3 linked regions of the Sus scrofa genome follow. The protein of the gene in region 3 interacts with the protein of the main gene of each other region in a pairwise test. Links are inferred from orthologs where the notes say so. Each region holds a gene or a part of one and is shown on either strand. Other genes may lie near its edges.

Region 1 (5,739 bases), on a different chromosome or scaffold from region 3:
AGGGTACGGCCCTAAAAAGATAAAAGTCAAAAAAAAAAAAAAAAAGGGGGGGAGGGATTTTTATATCCCATTATATTAAAGAGAGGGTTGAGGAGGCCTACAGAAATATATACATTAAAACAAAATTCAAGTAAGAAAAACAAATTAGGACCAAAGGAAAATGAGAGTAGGAAAAAGATGAAATCAGGGGTAAGGATGATATACAAAATGCAGGACTTCCCACTGTGGCTCAGCTGGTTAAGAACCCCACATCCTCTCCATGAGGATGCTGGTTCGATCCCAGGCCTCACTGAATGAGTTAAGCATTCGGTATTGCCATGAGCTGCAGTGTAGGACACAGATACGGCTTGGATCCAGAATTGCTGTGGCTGTGGTACAGGCTGGCAGCTGCAGCTCTGATTCATCCCCTAGCCTGGGAACCTCCATGTGCTGAAGGTGGGCCCTAAAAAGCCAAAAAAAAAAGTGTCACTATATCTTCATCAGTTATAACAAATGTACTGCACTAATGTAAGATGTTAACAGTGGGAGAGTCTCTATGAAGAAGAGGGGTTATAGGAACTTCCTGTACTACCTACGCATTTTGGTCATACTCAGTGAGTGAAAGATACATAAAGAGTGATTGAAGTCCACAACTGAACAGTACTCAGCATTTAAAAATAAATGAACCAGATCCACAAAGGGCAACATGGTTAAGTCTTCACTGACTAATTTCAATCGGGCACCCCTTAGACCTAGCAGCTGTACTTTTCACTCGCTGCAGCAACGTGTGAAACGGCAAACAGCTTTAATGACCCTTAATGAGAGGATTAATAAACCGCAGTCCAGTGCATACTACATAAGGGATTGGGCAGTCGTCAAGAATCAGGTAGATCTTTATGTTCCATCATGGAAAGACCTTAGACATTCTGTCAGAGAAAAGCTGCAGACCAAGGTGTACAGTATCATGTCATTAATGGGGGCCTGGCAGGAAATCCTACTTTTGTCTGCGTTACCTACATACAGATGAAAACCTAGAGAGAAGGGTCTGACAGGATCACAACAAACTGGTAATCGCAGTTTTGGTGGAGAAGGGAGTGGGTCAAGGGGGCCTTTAGTCTGTCTGTACTGTTCGAGCATTTTCTAAGAGAGCGTGCATTCACGAGCCACTTGCAGGGCTGCAGTACACAGCCACAGGCTGCACCATATAACCCCAGGAGGGACCAGGCTCAGGGACCCGGATGTGAATGGCACCCCTACAGTTAGCAGTATACATCCTGCACAACTAGATGCCACAGCCCTCATGTTTGCATAATTAGAAATAAATAAGAGGGGAGTTCCCTTCAGGGCTCAGTGGTTAACAAAGCCGACTAGGATCCATGAGGATGAGGGTTCAATCTCTGGCCTCACTCAGTGGGTTAAGGATCAGCCACAGCTGTGAGCTGTGGTGTAGGTCGCAGATGTGGCTGGGATCCCACAACACTGTGGCTGCGGCATAGGCCAAAAAAAAAAGAAGAAATAAATAAGAAGGAAGATCTGTATATACATATATTTTTTTTTTCAAACTCGTCCAATTCTGCATGGAACAGCTATCCAGTTTATTATATGAAAACCATACATCAATAAAGGCGATTTAGAAAGAAATATAAATTAAATAAATAAATAAATAAAATACAGTATCATTGAGAAAACCTGAAACAAGGCATCCAAAATTACAGGACCTAGGTATCCCAAAACAAGAACTGTAGGAGTTCCCATTGTGGCTTGATCTGGTGTTGCTGTGGCTGTGGTATAGGCTGGCAGCAGAAACTGATTTGACCCCTAGCCTGGAAACCACCATATTAGTAGACACGGCCCTAAATTAAAAATAAATAAATAAATAAATAAGAACCAGTAGACACCTGCTGGTTGTACTCTTAAGTACACAGCCCTGAAACTAACTTAGTTCTTCAAGGCTTACTACAGAATGCCAAATTTGAATTAATACTTTATTTTCATGAGGTAACATAGGTCCTGAGATATTTTATATTAAAGACATAAAATAAATGGTTACCTGGCATTCTATTGACTTTAAGTCTGATTTTCTAAGTAGAAATTTTGTTTCTCACACAGAGTGGACACTCAAAACCCTGCCAGCACTGCCTTGACTACATTACCCCCTTCAAAGGTAATTCCATTTATGTGTGATAAAAATCCTCAGAGAACTCATAAAAGGTCAAGTTTTAATTTGGCAGTCAAAGTAACCTAACAGGCACTGCAGCACAGGCAATTGAAACAGCAGCCTGGAGCCTGAGTCCCGAAATCCAACCAAGGCAGAGAAAAGGCAGAATCTCAGCCCTCAAAAAACAGAGATATATCCTCTCACTATAGACCTAAGATCCAAGAACACGAATAAAAATGAAAAAGTGTTCTCTAGACAAAAGTATTCTCCTTCCCCAAGTGATGGAAAAGAGGAGGGCCAGAAATGGGATGACTTGAAGCAATGGCCCAAAGAGTAAGCTCCTGGCAGCCAACATGCAATAAAGACGTGAAAGTGGCAGCAAGGCCAAAAAAAAAAAAATCACACCTCCGTCACTATAGCCACGAAGATCTAAGAACCTGGGTTACTCGGCCAAAAAAAAAGGAGAGATCGAGCCTGAAGAACAAGTAAAGTTCATCAGCTATCCCTACCACCAAATTGATCAACAGGGTTCCGTGTAAAATAGAGCAAAACCTTGCTGGGTTCATTCATTTTTGCAAGAGGCAGGCATTTAGTGCCTGCTGGGGCTCAGGCTCTGTTCCTGTCACTGAGGATTCAGTTAACAGTCATGGAGTTTCATTCTACTTAGGAAGGAAGGGAACTTCTTATCTATTTCCAATTCCCTTTTCCCTTCTCTTACCTATTTCCAATTCTCTTTTCCCTTCTCCCCCTTTAAATGTTAAAAGCACCTTCAAAAACTCCCAAATTCTTCCCACAAGCTTCTCGGACCCTCCTACTTGAATCCCCAAACCAAGCAGTTTTATGACTCGAACCTCCCAATACTGTGAAAAAAGAGACCTAAAATGAATACGGTATGAGGTAAAACTCAAATCTGCTTTGTATTTTATACGCATACCTTCACAATCGGATTGTCCGCACCCAAACAGCAAACGATGGCTGTGTTTTACACAATTTTGTGGATCACGGTTCTCGACCGAAAAGAGCTAATCAATAAACATTTGCTGAGAAGGCTGGAAGGTCTTCCTAATCCCAAGGCCTGGCACAGGAATTTAACAGCAAGCATTCCATAGCTGCATCCTCCCTCCTCTCAGGGCACTTTCCTTTAAAGGGTGACCTCGGGGGACAGGTTCACTGTTAGGCGCCTCGGGAAATAGTGCTTTAGGGCGATGTGAAATAAATTCCCTTCCCTCTGCCAGGGCCTGCCTGCCTCACCTGCCCTCTGCCAGGACCTGCCTCCTTCGCCCCCTTCAACACCTAACGCAGAGCCTCCTCCCAGCCAGCCGGCCTCCGGCAGCATCAGTCCAGCGCCCGCACCCCAGCTCCGCGCCCGGTGGCCACAGCAAGCTCGGGACCCGGGAGTCCCCTCCCCGGCCCCGGGGATCACAGCTCGGCGACGCCAGCCGGGGGCTGCGCTCCATCCCCTCGGATCGCCCCTCCAGGGCCGGGAGCGGCGGGGGCCAGGAGCGGCGGAGACCGCTCGCGCGGCGCCGTCTCCTCTCACAGCGCGCGCGGTGCTGCGGCCCCGGCTCCCAGGCTCAGTCTCCGCCGCTCCCGGCCCTGCACCCCCGCAGGCTCCCCAGGTGCGGGCGCTGCGCGGGCTCCTTCTCGTCCCTCGCGAGCGCGAGGCTCCAGCACCGCGCTCCTCTCCCGCAGCCAGCGGCCGCCGCCGCCGCCAACCCCCACCGTACTTACTTCTCGGCCGGAGCTGGGGGCGTCGAGAAGGTCTTCGGGGGCCGCAGCCTCCTCCGTCTCCTCCGGCCCGGCCCCCGCGGCTCAGGCGGCGGCGGCGTCCGCTCAGGCCCCGGAGCCGCCCCCGCGGCGAACGTTCTCAGGCGCCCGGCTCGCGCCGCTTCCCCGCCCGGCACGCGCAGCGAGCCCGCCCCCGGCGCGAGGGCGCGAGGGCGCGAGGGCGCAGGGCTGGGGGCGGGCACGAGCCGCCTGCGCGAACGCGCGGCTGGGGGCGGGGCTTCCGCCGCGCGGAGGAGGGGGCGGGCCAGCGGGCCTCATTCCCCTCGAGCCCCGCCCCCTACGGCCGGGTTCCGGGAGGGCGGAGGAAACTTGCCCCCTACCGACTTCGCCCGGGTGTCTGCAGCGGGCCGCGGAGGTGCATTTCTACTCCGTAGGTATGGGCCCCGCCACCTGGATGCTCGCCCCGACGTAACTACGAGGTAAAAAATGCAAAGAACCACCTCCACCCCGAATCATTCATCCGTGCCTGGAGCACGAGACCCTGCCCCGAGTGATTTTTCCAGATTGATTCAACCCAGCGAGCAGTTACTGAGCACCGACTCCGTGCCTAGCGCTGTAGCGCTGTACCAGGTGCTGTGTGGTTACATCGTCATCGTCACGGTCCCCGATCACAAGAAGCGCATAACTTAGTGGAAAAGCAGCCATGTAAACAACCAGGTCTGGTGACCCGTGCAAAGCCAAGCCACAGTGAGATGTTGTGGGAGAACAGAGGAAGAGATTACTTCCGCTTGGACAATGCTCGGGGGTTCTTGGAAGAGGTGGCATTTGTGTTCACCATGCAGGGAAGAAAAGGACGTACTAGGAGGAAAAAAGGGGGAGGGGACATTAAAAGCTAGGTAAACAGCTTGGACAAAGGAACGGAGAGTAAATAAAGGTTACCATCTCAGCATCAGCTTTTTTGCTTTAATATCCTTTTTTTTTTTTTTTTTTTTTTTTTTTGTCTTTTTGCTATTTCTTTGGGCCGCTCCCGCGGCATGTGGAGGTTCCCAGGCTAGGCGTCTAATCGGAGCTGTAGCCACCGGCCTACGCCAGAGCCACAGCAACGCGGGATCCGAGCCGCGTCTGCAACCTACACCACAGCTCACGGCAACGCCGGATCGTTAACCCCCTGAGCCAGGGCAGGGACCGAACCCGAAACCTCATGGTTCCTAGTCGGATTCGTTAACCACTGCGCCACGACGGGAACTCCTAATATCCATTTTTGATCAAATCCTGTCCAAACTGTGTGAGAAACAGAAGGTGGTGCCGAATGAGGAACAGCAATGCTTCTTTTAACAGTTCAAAGGATCATTTTCTCAACATTTTTTGAGGCTCCAAACACTTTAAAGACTCTTGATATGTTAGTGAAGGATGTGAATCTCTAAACCAGGAGAGCCCAGGCCGGTATGTTTTGAGTCTGGTTTTTCACTGTTTTTTGGCAACTTATGGTACATCGTGCCACCTCCTGCTGCTGTCTGCCTGCCTGCCTGCCTTTACAGCATCCTCTTCCTCCTCTCATCTCCTATTTTTAAACCTCTATGGTGAAGGAGATGCTGGAAACCAAGTTTGTTAAATTCGAGTAAACAGGTTCCTCAAAAAAAGTTGGCATCGTCTATCACACATAAATTTTGTGACTGTTTTGCATACATAGAAGAATTTTTCACTTGTGTGCAGGGTCTTAGCTATGTTTTGAATGTGTTAAGAAACACAGAATACAGGTAAGGGAGCTCTTGTTTACTCACTACTTACGGAGCACCAATTGTGTGGAAGGCATTGAAAAGGTGAAACATCGATCCTGCCCTTTGGAGGAAAGATGTGTAAATAATGTAAAATAA
Region 2 (5,958 bases), on a different chromosome or scaffold from region 3:
CAGCCTCCTCCGGGCGCCGGGCAGCCTGTGGAGAGAGCAAGAAAGGGAGACTGAATCCCACTGGCTGGCACCACCCCCACCCCTAGCAGATCGGAGCCCACCATCCGAAAGGCTCTGTGGAACTGGGCCACCTGTTACTCAGAACCCCAACTCCAACATCCCCCAAGGATCCTCTGAGCTCCAGGGATGAAACAGGACCTATCACCATCTCAGGGTGCTCCTTACAGGGAAGGGAGGCTCAGAAGTGGGCAAGAAGCCCATCGGGTGTGTCTGCATCACAACACGGAGACCCCGCATCTTAGCCCTTTCACTGAGCCTGGCAGCATGAAACAGGTCACAGCCCCACAAAGAGGAAGCTCCCGTCAACAGCATCTCCAAAAATCCATTCAAAAGGGGATCTGCCTGTGGCCAGTGATGCAAATTCAGTGTCACTGAGAATTTATATGTGTGTGTGTGTGTGTGTGTGTGTGTGTGAGAATTTCGTTTAAAATCAGCTCATTTGTGTGTTCAACTGGCCCTCACTCTGTACCTACAACTGATGGAAACCAAGCCAGGAGTTGCGATCAAAAGATTCATTCATTCTTCATTTAATAATTATTTATCCAGTACCTGCTGTGTGCCAGGCACCTGCCAGGGGTCCTCTTTGATCAGGAGAGACATGGCCTCAAAGCTCCCTGTCAGGAGGGAGGTAAGTACTTCAAGGAACCTTCAGAATCAGAACAGGATGCAGGGAGGCACCAGGTGGTATGGGAGAACGGGGTGGGGTAGGGAACACTGGTCTGGGTAGAAAGCCCCATAGAGCCCTTATGAACTGAGCAAGTGAACAGAACACACGTCATTTACTGCACAAGTCTTTATTGAGCACTTATTGTGTGCCAAGGACCTTGGAGGGCATTTAAGGCGACATCAAGCTATAGTCCCAGATTCAGACAATAAGTGATGCCATACCCAGAAGAAGCCAAGTCAGCTCCAAAAGGCAATGTGGAGCTAGCCTTTTTTTTTGGCCGCCCCAGAGGATATGGAGTTCCCAGGACAGCGCTCAGATCCAAGTTGCAGCTGCGACATTGGGAACAGCTACTTTTGTTTTTAAATGGAGCTGGAGGCACCCAAGGACCTCCTAATGGCTCCAGGGTGTAGACCACTTTCCCCATCTCTCACTGCACAGACTGCTCTCTACCAGGCAGTCAAGATCCCCATTTAAATGCTGTCCACCTCCCTGGACCCTCTATGGCTCCCCAGGGTGGGGCTCACAGCACCCAGCCTGGAGCAGCAGCTCCATCCACCTCCAAGGGAATGAATGCTCTGATATGAAGGCACCCAGAAGTTCCAACCGAAGCTTGGAAGAGGGCTGGTGATGGAGACACAGAGCTCAGAGGCTGACAGGGGTCACGGTGCCACAGGGAAGGATGCAATCATCAAAGGTGGTACCAGACGAGAGGCAACCAGGGAGGGTGGAGCTCACTCTGGGCGGGAAGAAAAGATGGAGGAGGAGGTGGTAGAGGCATCAGGCAGGTGCAGAGCCCTCAGAGGTGACCAAAGAGTGAATGGAAAGGAGAGGTCAAACTGGAAGAAAGCCCCTGGGGGCTCTGTAAGGGAGAAGGTCAGTGGAGCAGACCCAAGGGATGGGCGGCAGCTAGCGGAAGCTGCCACTTCCTCCTCTTAGGGAAGCTGGCTGGATGGGAAGGCGAGGATGTGGTATTTAGAATAAGAGATTTCCACATGCTGGGTGGATAGAGGGGCAGGAATGACTAAAGCAGCAGCAAGAGGCCAACGAAGTCAGAGAGCAGGGATAGGTGGCCCGAAGATCTGGTGAGTGAAGTTCACAGAGCTGAGCCCCGGGAAGAATGCCAGGCTCCTGGTTAGGGCGTTGTAGTCTCTGCCTTCCCTGACCGTGGAAGACACCTTGGAAGAAGCTCCTGGGCACCGTCTCCCTGGGAGGTGGGCGGGACTGCTGGCCAAAGGTCAGGGCAGAGGCAGCTCCACTGAGGAAATGGAGAAGGACCAGCGTGGAGGGGAAGGAACTGGGAGGAGCAGCCAGCTGTCCCCTTCTCCAGGCTGCTGGGCATAGAGCTGGACCCACGAGCAGCCCTGAGGACCAGCTGCCCCACGGGCGAGGGGGGAGCAAGACAGGCTGCACCTGCATGCGGAGCCTTGGGGAAGGTGAGCTAGTGAAGGGCCCTGAAGGTCAATTCCACGGTTGAGGGAGAAGACTTTCAAAGAGATCAGCGAAGTCGGAGGGGCAGGGACCCAAGGAGACAGTATTTCGTGGCTTTCAGGAAGGGAAATTGGGAGGCAGTCAGGAAGATATCACCAAGAACGAGGAAGGGTGTGTGCAAGTTCCTGAAGAGGAAAAAGCAGCTGAATTTAGCAGCCTGGGTGGCGGGGGGGGGGGGGGGGGGGGGCGGGGGGTGAAGGTCAAAAGTATCAAAGACTTTACAACAGCCCAAGGCTGGAGACTCAAAAGCCTAGGTCCTGGGCAGGGGGATGGGGGCCAACAAGGAGTGTGGTTATGACCAAAAGCTGGTTTTGAACCAGGCTGTGCGACTTACTAGATGTGCCACCCTGGGAAAATTATTTTGTCTCTGTGCCTCATTATCTCCATCTGCGAAATGGGGAGAATGCTACTTTATAGGATCGGTGTAAAGTTTAGACAATTCCTATGTACAATGTTCAGAAGCATATCGGCGTCTACAGGGAACCTCCCAATTTTATTTTTCAGTGGCCTCTATCCAGTGGTGGGTGAATGCCAGAGGGGCTGGCTGCGGGCGAGGGGCATCTGCCTCTATGGGTTTAGGCCAGGGTTGTAGAGCTGCAGCGTCCTCCCCGCCCCCCACCTGCCCCCCGACCAGGGATAGTGCAATGACTGGGGGACAGACTTGTGACACCTGCCCAAAGACTGCTGCCGGGAAGGCCTAGTCTCCCTGGGAGAGCGGGCAGAAGGTCAGGGAGGTTGGACAGGGGCTAGACCTCCTCTGCGCACAGTCACGCGTCCTAGGTTTTACAGATCAACCCAGATTTCGAAACCTCTGCTCCCTGGTACCCAAGAGGACAGCAGAACTCATTGCCCCACACCCTAAAGTCCAGTCACGGCAAATACAGGACTCCGTTCTGAGACTGCATTCCTTGCCAATGACTCTCTGGCCAAGGAGAAGGCTACTTTTACCAAGGGCAAGGGGGATAGCCTGGGCCTGCAGAGGTGCTCACTCAGTCTCAGGCAGACAGAAAGCCAGGGAAGGTGACAGACCAGGGGTAATCACGACCCCTAACCTTGAGACATATGGGGGGGGGGCGGTACTTGAGAATTTAAATGCAGCTTCCTCTTTAAAATCTGCCAGGACCAGGCCCTTTGCTGCGCCAGAGTTCTGCTCTAACTCACAACAGGGGGTAGAAGGAGGTGGCTTCTGCCTGGCCCTCCCTGCTGGGACCCCTCCTCGCCAGGCAGCTGCTGTCAAAGGCTCAATTTCCCCCTCTGCCCAGGAGACCATTGGCCCAGGCGCTCCTTCCTAACCTCGGGCCCACCCCACCCGGCCCGGGCCCCGGGGGTGGGGGAAGCAAACTGCCCAGGGGCTTACGAGATGGGAGGGCCGGAAACGGCAGCCTTCAGGGGAGCCCTGCGGATGCCAGGGACCTCTGCCAGGGGAGGGGGCGGCGCTGACCGGCACGTAGTTCCCCAGTAGTGTCCGGCTTCCCTGGCCATTGAAATCAGATAGGTGGCCCCGAGGCTGTTCTGATCCCAGGGGACATGCCGCCCGCTTCCCCTGCTCGGCTCAGGCTGGACGGTGCAGGGGGCGGCGAGGGGAGAGGGTAGAAAAGGGGTGGATCGCCGGGGCCCGGCCTCCCCGCGCCCCCCAGCGGGGCGGGGCAGGGGGATCCCAGACGCGGCACCCGAAACGACTGGTCAGGCGGACCCCAAGAGCCCAGCTCGCCCCCTGCCCGCCGGAGCCCCGGACTCACCGGCCTAGCGGAGGCAGGATCCCGGTGTCGCCGCAGTGCCCGGGGCTCGGCCCGGCCCGGCCCGCTGGCGGGAGGCTGCTCCACGCCGCTGCCTCCTCGGCCCGCCCCGCTCCAGCCCCTCCCGCACACTTTCCACAGGAAATGATTAACTCGAGGCCGCGGCGCGTTCCCATGGCAACCGGCTCCGACCCTGGGGGTGGGGGGGCGGCGCGCTCGCTCCTGCACACACTCACACACTCACACGCGGGACCGCCCACTTCGACAGACCCTCCCGCTGGGTCTCCCCAAGCCCCCCGCCCCCCCCCCGCACATGCCTGTGCACACATGCGTGCTCATCCGGGCGCACACGCACCGTCCTACGTGCTCACATATGCACGGCACTCACATATATTTGCACACATGCTCTAGGGAGTCTACATGAAGGCACTCACATTCTCACACACATTCCCACGCTCATTTCAACACGCATGCTTTTGCACTTACACTCAGACGCACCTCCTCACTTTCACACGCACTGCACTAGTTACTGCTCACACACACACTTCTCACAAGTGCTCCCTTGCTGCCCTTCGCATGCTCTCACAAACTCCAGTACACGTTTACTTGACTTCATAGCACACACACTTACATACTCTAGCTAGTACCTATGCACACTTGCACATTCTCACACACTCACGTTACCCCATGCTTTCTCACAAATGCTGTACACACTCCTTAGGATACACACCCACTTGCACACATGCATGTTCTCACATGATGGCCAACTCTTTCTCACACTCCAGCCTACGCGTGCTTTTAAACCCCGGGACACACTTTCACATATGCTCTAGTTAGCACATGCATAGTGTCACACGTTAGCACAGGCATTTTTCACGTACATCATCTTGCTAGCTCTAAAAGGAGTACACAGGCCAGGTTGCCTCCCAGCCAGGGCACCACCTGCTGTCCCCCACCCTCCTTACCCCTTCCACAGCCCCCTTTCCAGAGCAGAGATGTTTGAGATTCTTTAAGGTAAAATATTCCTTTAAGCTCCCGTGAAAACATGTACAGAATGTAGCTGCTCTGGAGCAAGCAGCAGCTCCCACTGCAGCCCCGGAAGCCCCCTCCCCCCCCATAGAATGCCCCAGAAGAAGCCTGGGGGAGGCTAGGGAGCCGACCAGCCAAGGAGAGACAGCTGACCCGGAGGAGCCACTCTGTTCTTTGTCTCCCAAACAGAGGCAGCATTTACTCCAGAGTCAGCAGCAATATTCCCCCTCCAGGGTGCGGAAGGAGGAGAGAGGAAAGAAACTCAGAAGCCAGCCTAGTGCAGGCTGATGGTTCCGAAGATAATCCGAGGGGGATGCGCGTGCTGCCCCTTCCTGCTTAACTGGGGAGGGGCCAGGAGAGGACTGGAGGGGCCCATGCAGCTCCAGATGGGTTCTGTCTCCTACCGCTGGGCAGGCGCTGGGCTAGTGGTCAAGAATCTCAACCAGAGACAGAGCCAAGGTTCTGGGCCTCAGATTGTTCTGGATGCCAGACCAGGCCAGACCAGGACACTCACAATCCCTCTAATAAAAGTGAGCTCCAGGGAATTCCGGTTGTGGCTCAGTGGTAACGAACCTGACTTGCATCCATGAGGATGCGGGCTCCATCCCCGGCCTCCCTCAGTGGGTTAAGGATCCAGCCTTGCGGTGGCTGTGGTGTAGGTCAGCAGCTGCAGCTCCGATTGGACCTCTAGCAGGACCTCCAAATGCCGCAGGTGCGGCCCTAAAAAGAACAAAAACTGGGCTCCAGCGTTCTATTTTCTCACTGAGATGCCTCAGCAAAGGCGCAATAGAGGGGGCAGGTCACTCTCCAGGAATGGCTCCCTGGAGAGTTAGATTTCTAGCCAAGAACCCTGGAGAAGCCTCCCAATGGGTGAGCAAGCCATCACTGGAGAGCTCTCTTCTCTGAATTCCCTTGCCAGCCTCCAGACAGCAGGGATCAGGAGGATAGGAGGGCCGGAGGACCGCAGATTTTTTCTAG
Region 3 (5,290 bases):
CACACACACTCACACATACACACACGGAATACTACTCATCCATAAAAAAAGAATGTAATAATGCCATTTGTGGCAATTGCATGCAGCTAGAGATTATCATACTAAGTGAAGTGAGTCAGAAAGAGAAAGACAAATACCATATGATATCACTTATATGAGGTATCTAAAATACGGCACAAATGAACCTATCCACAGGACAAAAACAGACTCACAGACATAGAGAACACATTTGTGGTTGCCAAAGGGTAGGGGGGAGGGAGTGGGATGGACTGGGAGTTTGGGGTTAGTAGATGCAAACTATCACATTTAGAATGGATAAGCAACGAGGTCCTACTTTATAGCACAGGGCACTATATCAAGTTTCTTGGGATAGACCATGATAGACGATAATATAAGGAAGGGAATGTATATATACAAATGACTGGGTCACTTTGCTGTACAGCAGAAATTGGCACAATGTTGTACATCAACTATACTTTAATAAAAACAAAAACTCTATTCATACCATTAATAAGGCATTTATTTTGCTTTGAGTCAAAAAAAACCAAAACTACAGTTTAATTACCATAGACCTAATGATAAAAACCTAAAACTAAAAACTACTAAAAGAAAACAAGAAAATATTTTTGACATCTATAAAACAAAAAGTTTGTAAATTTGACACCAAAAGTACAATCTAAAGGGAAAAAAAGCAATGAATTGGGAATAATCAAAGAATTTTTGCTCTTTAAAAGACACCATTAAGAGAATGAAAAGTCACAAAATGGAAGAAAATATTTGCAAATAATTTTATTATTTGCATAATCAATTAAAGACTAATTCAGAATGTGAAAGAATTCAATAAGAAAACAAACAACCCTATTCAAAAGGTATGTGGGGGGAAGCAAAAACATTTAACAGACGTTTCATCAAATATAAACAGATGGCAAATAAACACATGAAAAGATGTTCTACATCATTATTCATTGGGGAAATGTCCACAAAACCACAAGGAACTATTATACACCAATTAGAATGTCTAAATTAAAAATATGTGTGTAAAGAATAACAATACCACATGCTAACAAGTGTGCAGAATAAGTGGAAGTCACACACTGCTGATAAGTGTGCAAAACTGTACAACAACTTTGGAAAACGATTTGTCAATTTCTTATAAAGTTAAGCATTCACTTCCCATATTATCCAGCAATCCTACTTCCTAGGTATTTACCCAAACAAAATGAAAACCTATGTACACATACAAGTCTATGTATGAATATATTTGGCACTTTTATTCATAATCACTCACAACTGAAAATAACACAAATTTCCCTCAATTGGGTAAAGTATTAATAAAAAAACTGTGGTAAACCCATTCAATAGAACACTATTCAGTAATAAAAAGGAACAAACATGTAACAATGGATAGATCTCAAATGCACTGTGCTAAAAAGACAGACCCAAAGGCTTTATCACACATGCTTCGATTTATGATATTTCTACAAAGGCAGAAACTTTAGAAACAAAGATCAAGAGGTTGCCAGGGCCTAAGAGGAAAACAGAAGGACTGATTACAAAGGGGCATGTTGGAAATCTGAGGATGATAGGACTGTTCTATGTCTGGACTGTGGTTGAGGTAGTATCATTGCATACATTTGTCAAAACTCACAGAAGCTGCACACTAGAAAGGGTGAATTTTAATCTACAGAAATTATACTTTAATAAAAAAAAGGAAAAAAGTACTTGGTGATTCGAAGACATGACATAAAAGGGACTGATATAAATTTTTAATAAGGCATTTACCTTGCTTTTTGTTAAAAAAAACTATAATTCTTCACTCATACAATAAATTTTTTGAGTGCAGATGAGAAACCAGCAACTGCTATTAAGTTGTAATTTAATTACTAAAATGTAGATGCTAGATAAGAGTGATTTGTCCTTTTTGGGCCTACAACTGATTTAAGATGAATTCCTTATTCTACTGATGCAGGAGCATAACATGATTCTATAGTTAACTAGCTGGAGTGACCTAACAGAGTTGTATATATATCAAAGGACAGCTCATGTTTACATTTACCCCTGAAAAAAGCTTTTCTTAAAAAATGCTATTACAGAAGCTATGCCATTAAACACCATCCAAAATGGATGGATTAAAACGGACTTTTAAAATGTCTTTTAAAACATCTAAGCATCTTGGAGTTCCCGTTGTGGTGCAGTGGTTAACAAATCAGACTAGGACCCATGAGGTTGTGGGTTCGGTCCCTGGCCTTGCTCAGTGGGTTAAGGATCTGGTGTTGCCGTGAGCTGTGGAGTAGGTCGCAGACGCGGCTCAGATCCCACTTTGCTGTGGCTCTGGCGTAGGCCGGTGGCTATGGCTCTGATTTGACCCCTAGCCTGGGAACCTCCATATGCCACGGGAGCAGCCCTAGAAAAGGCAAAAAGACAAAAAAAAAAAAAAAAAAAAAAATCTAAGCATCTTGGCATAACAGTAGGGCTGAATACACATATATTATGAAGTACTTTATTAACCAGCTAAGGTGATGTGTGTCCAAGCACATACATTTTTACAGCAGATCAGAAACTGTTTACAAACCAGCATCATTATTAACTTTGCAAATAAACTGTAGCAATTGCACCTTTTTCTCCTTCCCCATCAAAACAGTCTTTAGGTTGCAATGTTAAAACACCAAAACACCAGTCGACCTTAAGGTACAAGTAAACTTGAAATTCTTAAAAAGACCGCTGTCTATTTGTTTACTAGGCTGCTACAATACGCAATGAATTCTGTTAAAATAGACTTATACTTTAAACTGTTATATCAAATATTTCCTATAAAACATACCTTAAAATTGTCACAGACTTTTCTTTTTGTTGATGACTTAACTGTAACAAAGAATACTTCTAACGACAACTTCTCAAAACTGTACAGAAGACAGCGCCATACTAAATTCATGAATCTCTAGTAAATGAAATTTGAGTAATAAAAACTGTGTATTTGTGCTACTCTATCAGAAAAATAAGAACCTTTACGCAGATTTCCTCAGGAAATTCTATTCTTCAGTCACATGCCATTTTCTAATTACTACCTTAGTCTCAATTTAAAAAAAAATACAAACCACAACAAAAAAATCATAAAATCAAGTTCCAAGTAAGAGAAGAGCCAGAGGACTGGACTGCCTGCCAAGGAATAAGCCCATACTCACCTGTAGGGGGAGTGGAAGAAACAACAGGGGGAGTTGGAGAAGTGAAGCCATCAGCAAGGGTCTGGGCACCCCCAGCAGCAGCGTCTGGGGCAATGGAGGAAGGGACAGTTGCAGGAACAAGAGGGGCAGGGGCAGATGCAGAAGTAGCAGGAAGGGGAGGAGTACCAGCAGAGCCAGCAGGGGCTGGGGGAAAAGAGGAGTAAGAGGCAGCATTAATGAGGCACTTCCATTAGGCAGGATTAGAAATGGTATTAGAGAACTTAATGTTAGATACTAAGTGTTTATCAATAACCAAAGAATAGAAGAGAGTGTTAAAAAAAAAAAAAAGAATGAAGTTTATGTTAAGGATTATTAGGTTTGCAGCAAATAATTCAAGATGCTAAGGGTAATGTACAGATTGTAAAATTCATTAAAAGCATTCCTTTTGGAGTTCCTGCTGTGGCTCAGCAGTAATGAACTCAACTAGTACCCATGAGGCAGGTTTGATCCCTGGCCTTGTTCAGTGGGTTAAGGACCTGGCATTGCCATGAGCTGTGGTGTAGGTCACAGATGTAGCTTGGATACCATGTAGCTATGGCTGCGGTGTAGGCCAGTAGCTACAGCTCTGATTCAACCCCTAGTCTGGGAACTTCATATGCCACAGGCACAGCACTAAAAAGCAAAAAAAAAAAAGCATCATTCCTTTTCACTCGACAGCCACTATTCTGGAAGAAAGGTGCTCCTTTTATATTGTTATTTTTACCATAACATTCTGTAATAGTATACAAAATTAAACATAACACCAGAAAACAACAGTATGGAGTTCTCGTCATGGCTCAGTGGTTAACGAATCCGACTAGGAACCATGAGGTCACGGGTTCGATCCCTGGCCTTGCTCAGTGGGTTAAGGATCCAGTGTTGCCGTGAGCTGTGGTGTAGGTTGCAGACGCAGCTCAGATCTCGAGTTGCTGTGGCTCTGGTGTAGGCCGGCAGCTGCAGCTCCGATTCGACCCCTAGCCTGGGAATCTCCATGTGCCACAGCAGCGGCCCAAGAAATGGCAAAAAGACAAAAAAAAAAAAAAAAAAACCATATTCCATTTTGATTTACACGAATCAGAAACTAAACATGTATCCAGACATAAACATCTTATTGGTAAAAAAGAATTTAGAAAAATACAAATCTCCTTTTCATGACTTTTAAAAAGATATTATCTATTTGTTATTAAAGCAAATTAAATATGTAATATCCTATCCTTAATGTCTTTTGGGTCATGTTTTAAAAACTAAATTTTAACTGTGAGTCCTCAAATTAAACAAGTACATTTCTCTGTTTCAGATAAGATCGGGTGCATTCAGGGTGGTATAGCCATACATTATTTTGTTTCAGAGAAAAGCGGGTAGCATTTCAGTGATTATTAAGTTCCAGAGTCAGCTAAATTTAACTAGTTAATTATATCTGTCCAATCCTTGGTTACCAATCTGATCCTCACACTGGGTGCCCACTGTGTCCAAAGGCATGCACTGTCATAACACCAGCTGGAATTAAACACGTAACTCATTCCAAGGTGGTATCTGAAACCTCAAAGCACCACCTCAGCCATAGCACCAAATACATTAAACCAAATAACAGAGAAGTTTGTAACAAACTTACAAATCACTTGGCTAAAATAACAAATGGATAAAGATTTCTCAACATTTAGACTCTTAAAGGGAAAAAAAAAATCCAATTATGAAGAAAACCCACTGTAATTAAATCAGAAACTCAACTCAAGACTCCAAAAGGAGAGGTGATGATGAAGCACAATGCATGTTTTACCTGGAAAGACACTGGGTGGAGAGGGGGTGGGAACGGCAATGGGGACTCCCACACTCCCACTTCCACTGTTCTCCCGACTGCTGCTCCTACTGCTTGGATGGCTTCCTCCACTACTCCCGCTGCTGCTAAAGGAATAAGAGCCACCAAACCATGAGCATTTATATATGGTAAGGTATCACCAGCATTTTCCAAAATTTTCTGAAATGAATATAGCTATACGATGATAATTCCAAAGTCTTTCACTTCAAATATGAATTCCTTAACAGAGTAAAGGGAAAAGCCGAGTTCAAAAAAACTTGTTTTGGATACCTTT

What was found. The genes of interacting proteins can lie anywhere in the genome.
Region 1: the proteins of ABI2 (region 3) and DTNB interact in binary tests that used the Homo sapiens proteins (3 or more experiments, as listed by UniProt). The link is inferred for Sus scrofa from reciprocal best matches to the Homo sapiens genes ABI2 and DTNB.
Region 2: the proteins of ABI2 (region 3) and KIFC3 interact in binary tests that used the Homo sapiens proteins (3 or more experiments, as listed by UniProt). The link is inferred for Sus scrofa from reciprocal best matches to the Homo sapiens genes ABI2 and KIFC3.

Annotation. Positions count from the first base shown.
Region 1 is NC_010445.4:113,227,489-113,233,227, reverse strand, and holds the start of DTNB (dystrobrevin beta), read right to left. Parts: upstream 4,068-5,739; 5' UTR 3,869-4,067; intron 1-3,868.
Region 2 is NC_010448.4:19,692,038-19,697,995, forward strand, and holds the start of KIFC3 (kinesin-like protein KIFC3), read right to left. Parts: upstream 4,068-5,958; 5' UTR 3,955-4,067; intron 2,161-3,954; exon of another isoform or gene 700-2,160; intron 629-699; exon of another isoform or gene 610-628; intron 26-609; 5' UTR 1-25. UniProt on the Homo sapiens protein: Minus-end microtubule-dependent motor protein. Involved in apically targeted transport. Required for zonula adherens maintenance.
Region 3 is NC_010457.5:106,858,941-106,864,230, reverse strand, and holds part of ABI2 (abl interactor 2), read right to left. Parts: intron 5,103-5,290; coding exon 4,978-5,102; intron 3,366-4,977; coding exon 3,183-3,365; intron 1-3,182. UniProt on the Homo sapiens protein: Regulator of actin cytoskeleton dynamics underlying cell motility and adhesion. Functions as a component of the WAVE complex, which activates actin nucleating machinery Arp2/3 to drive lamellipodia formation.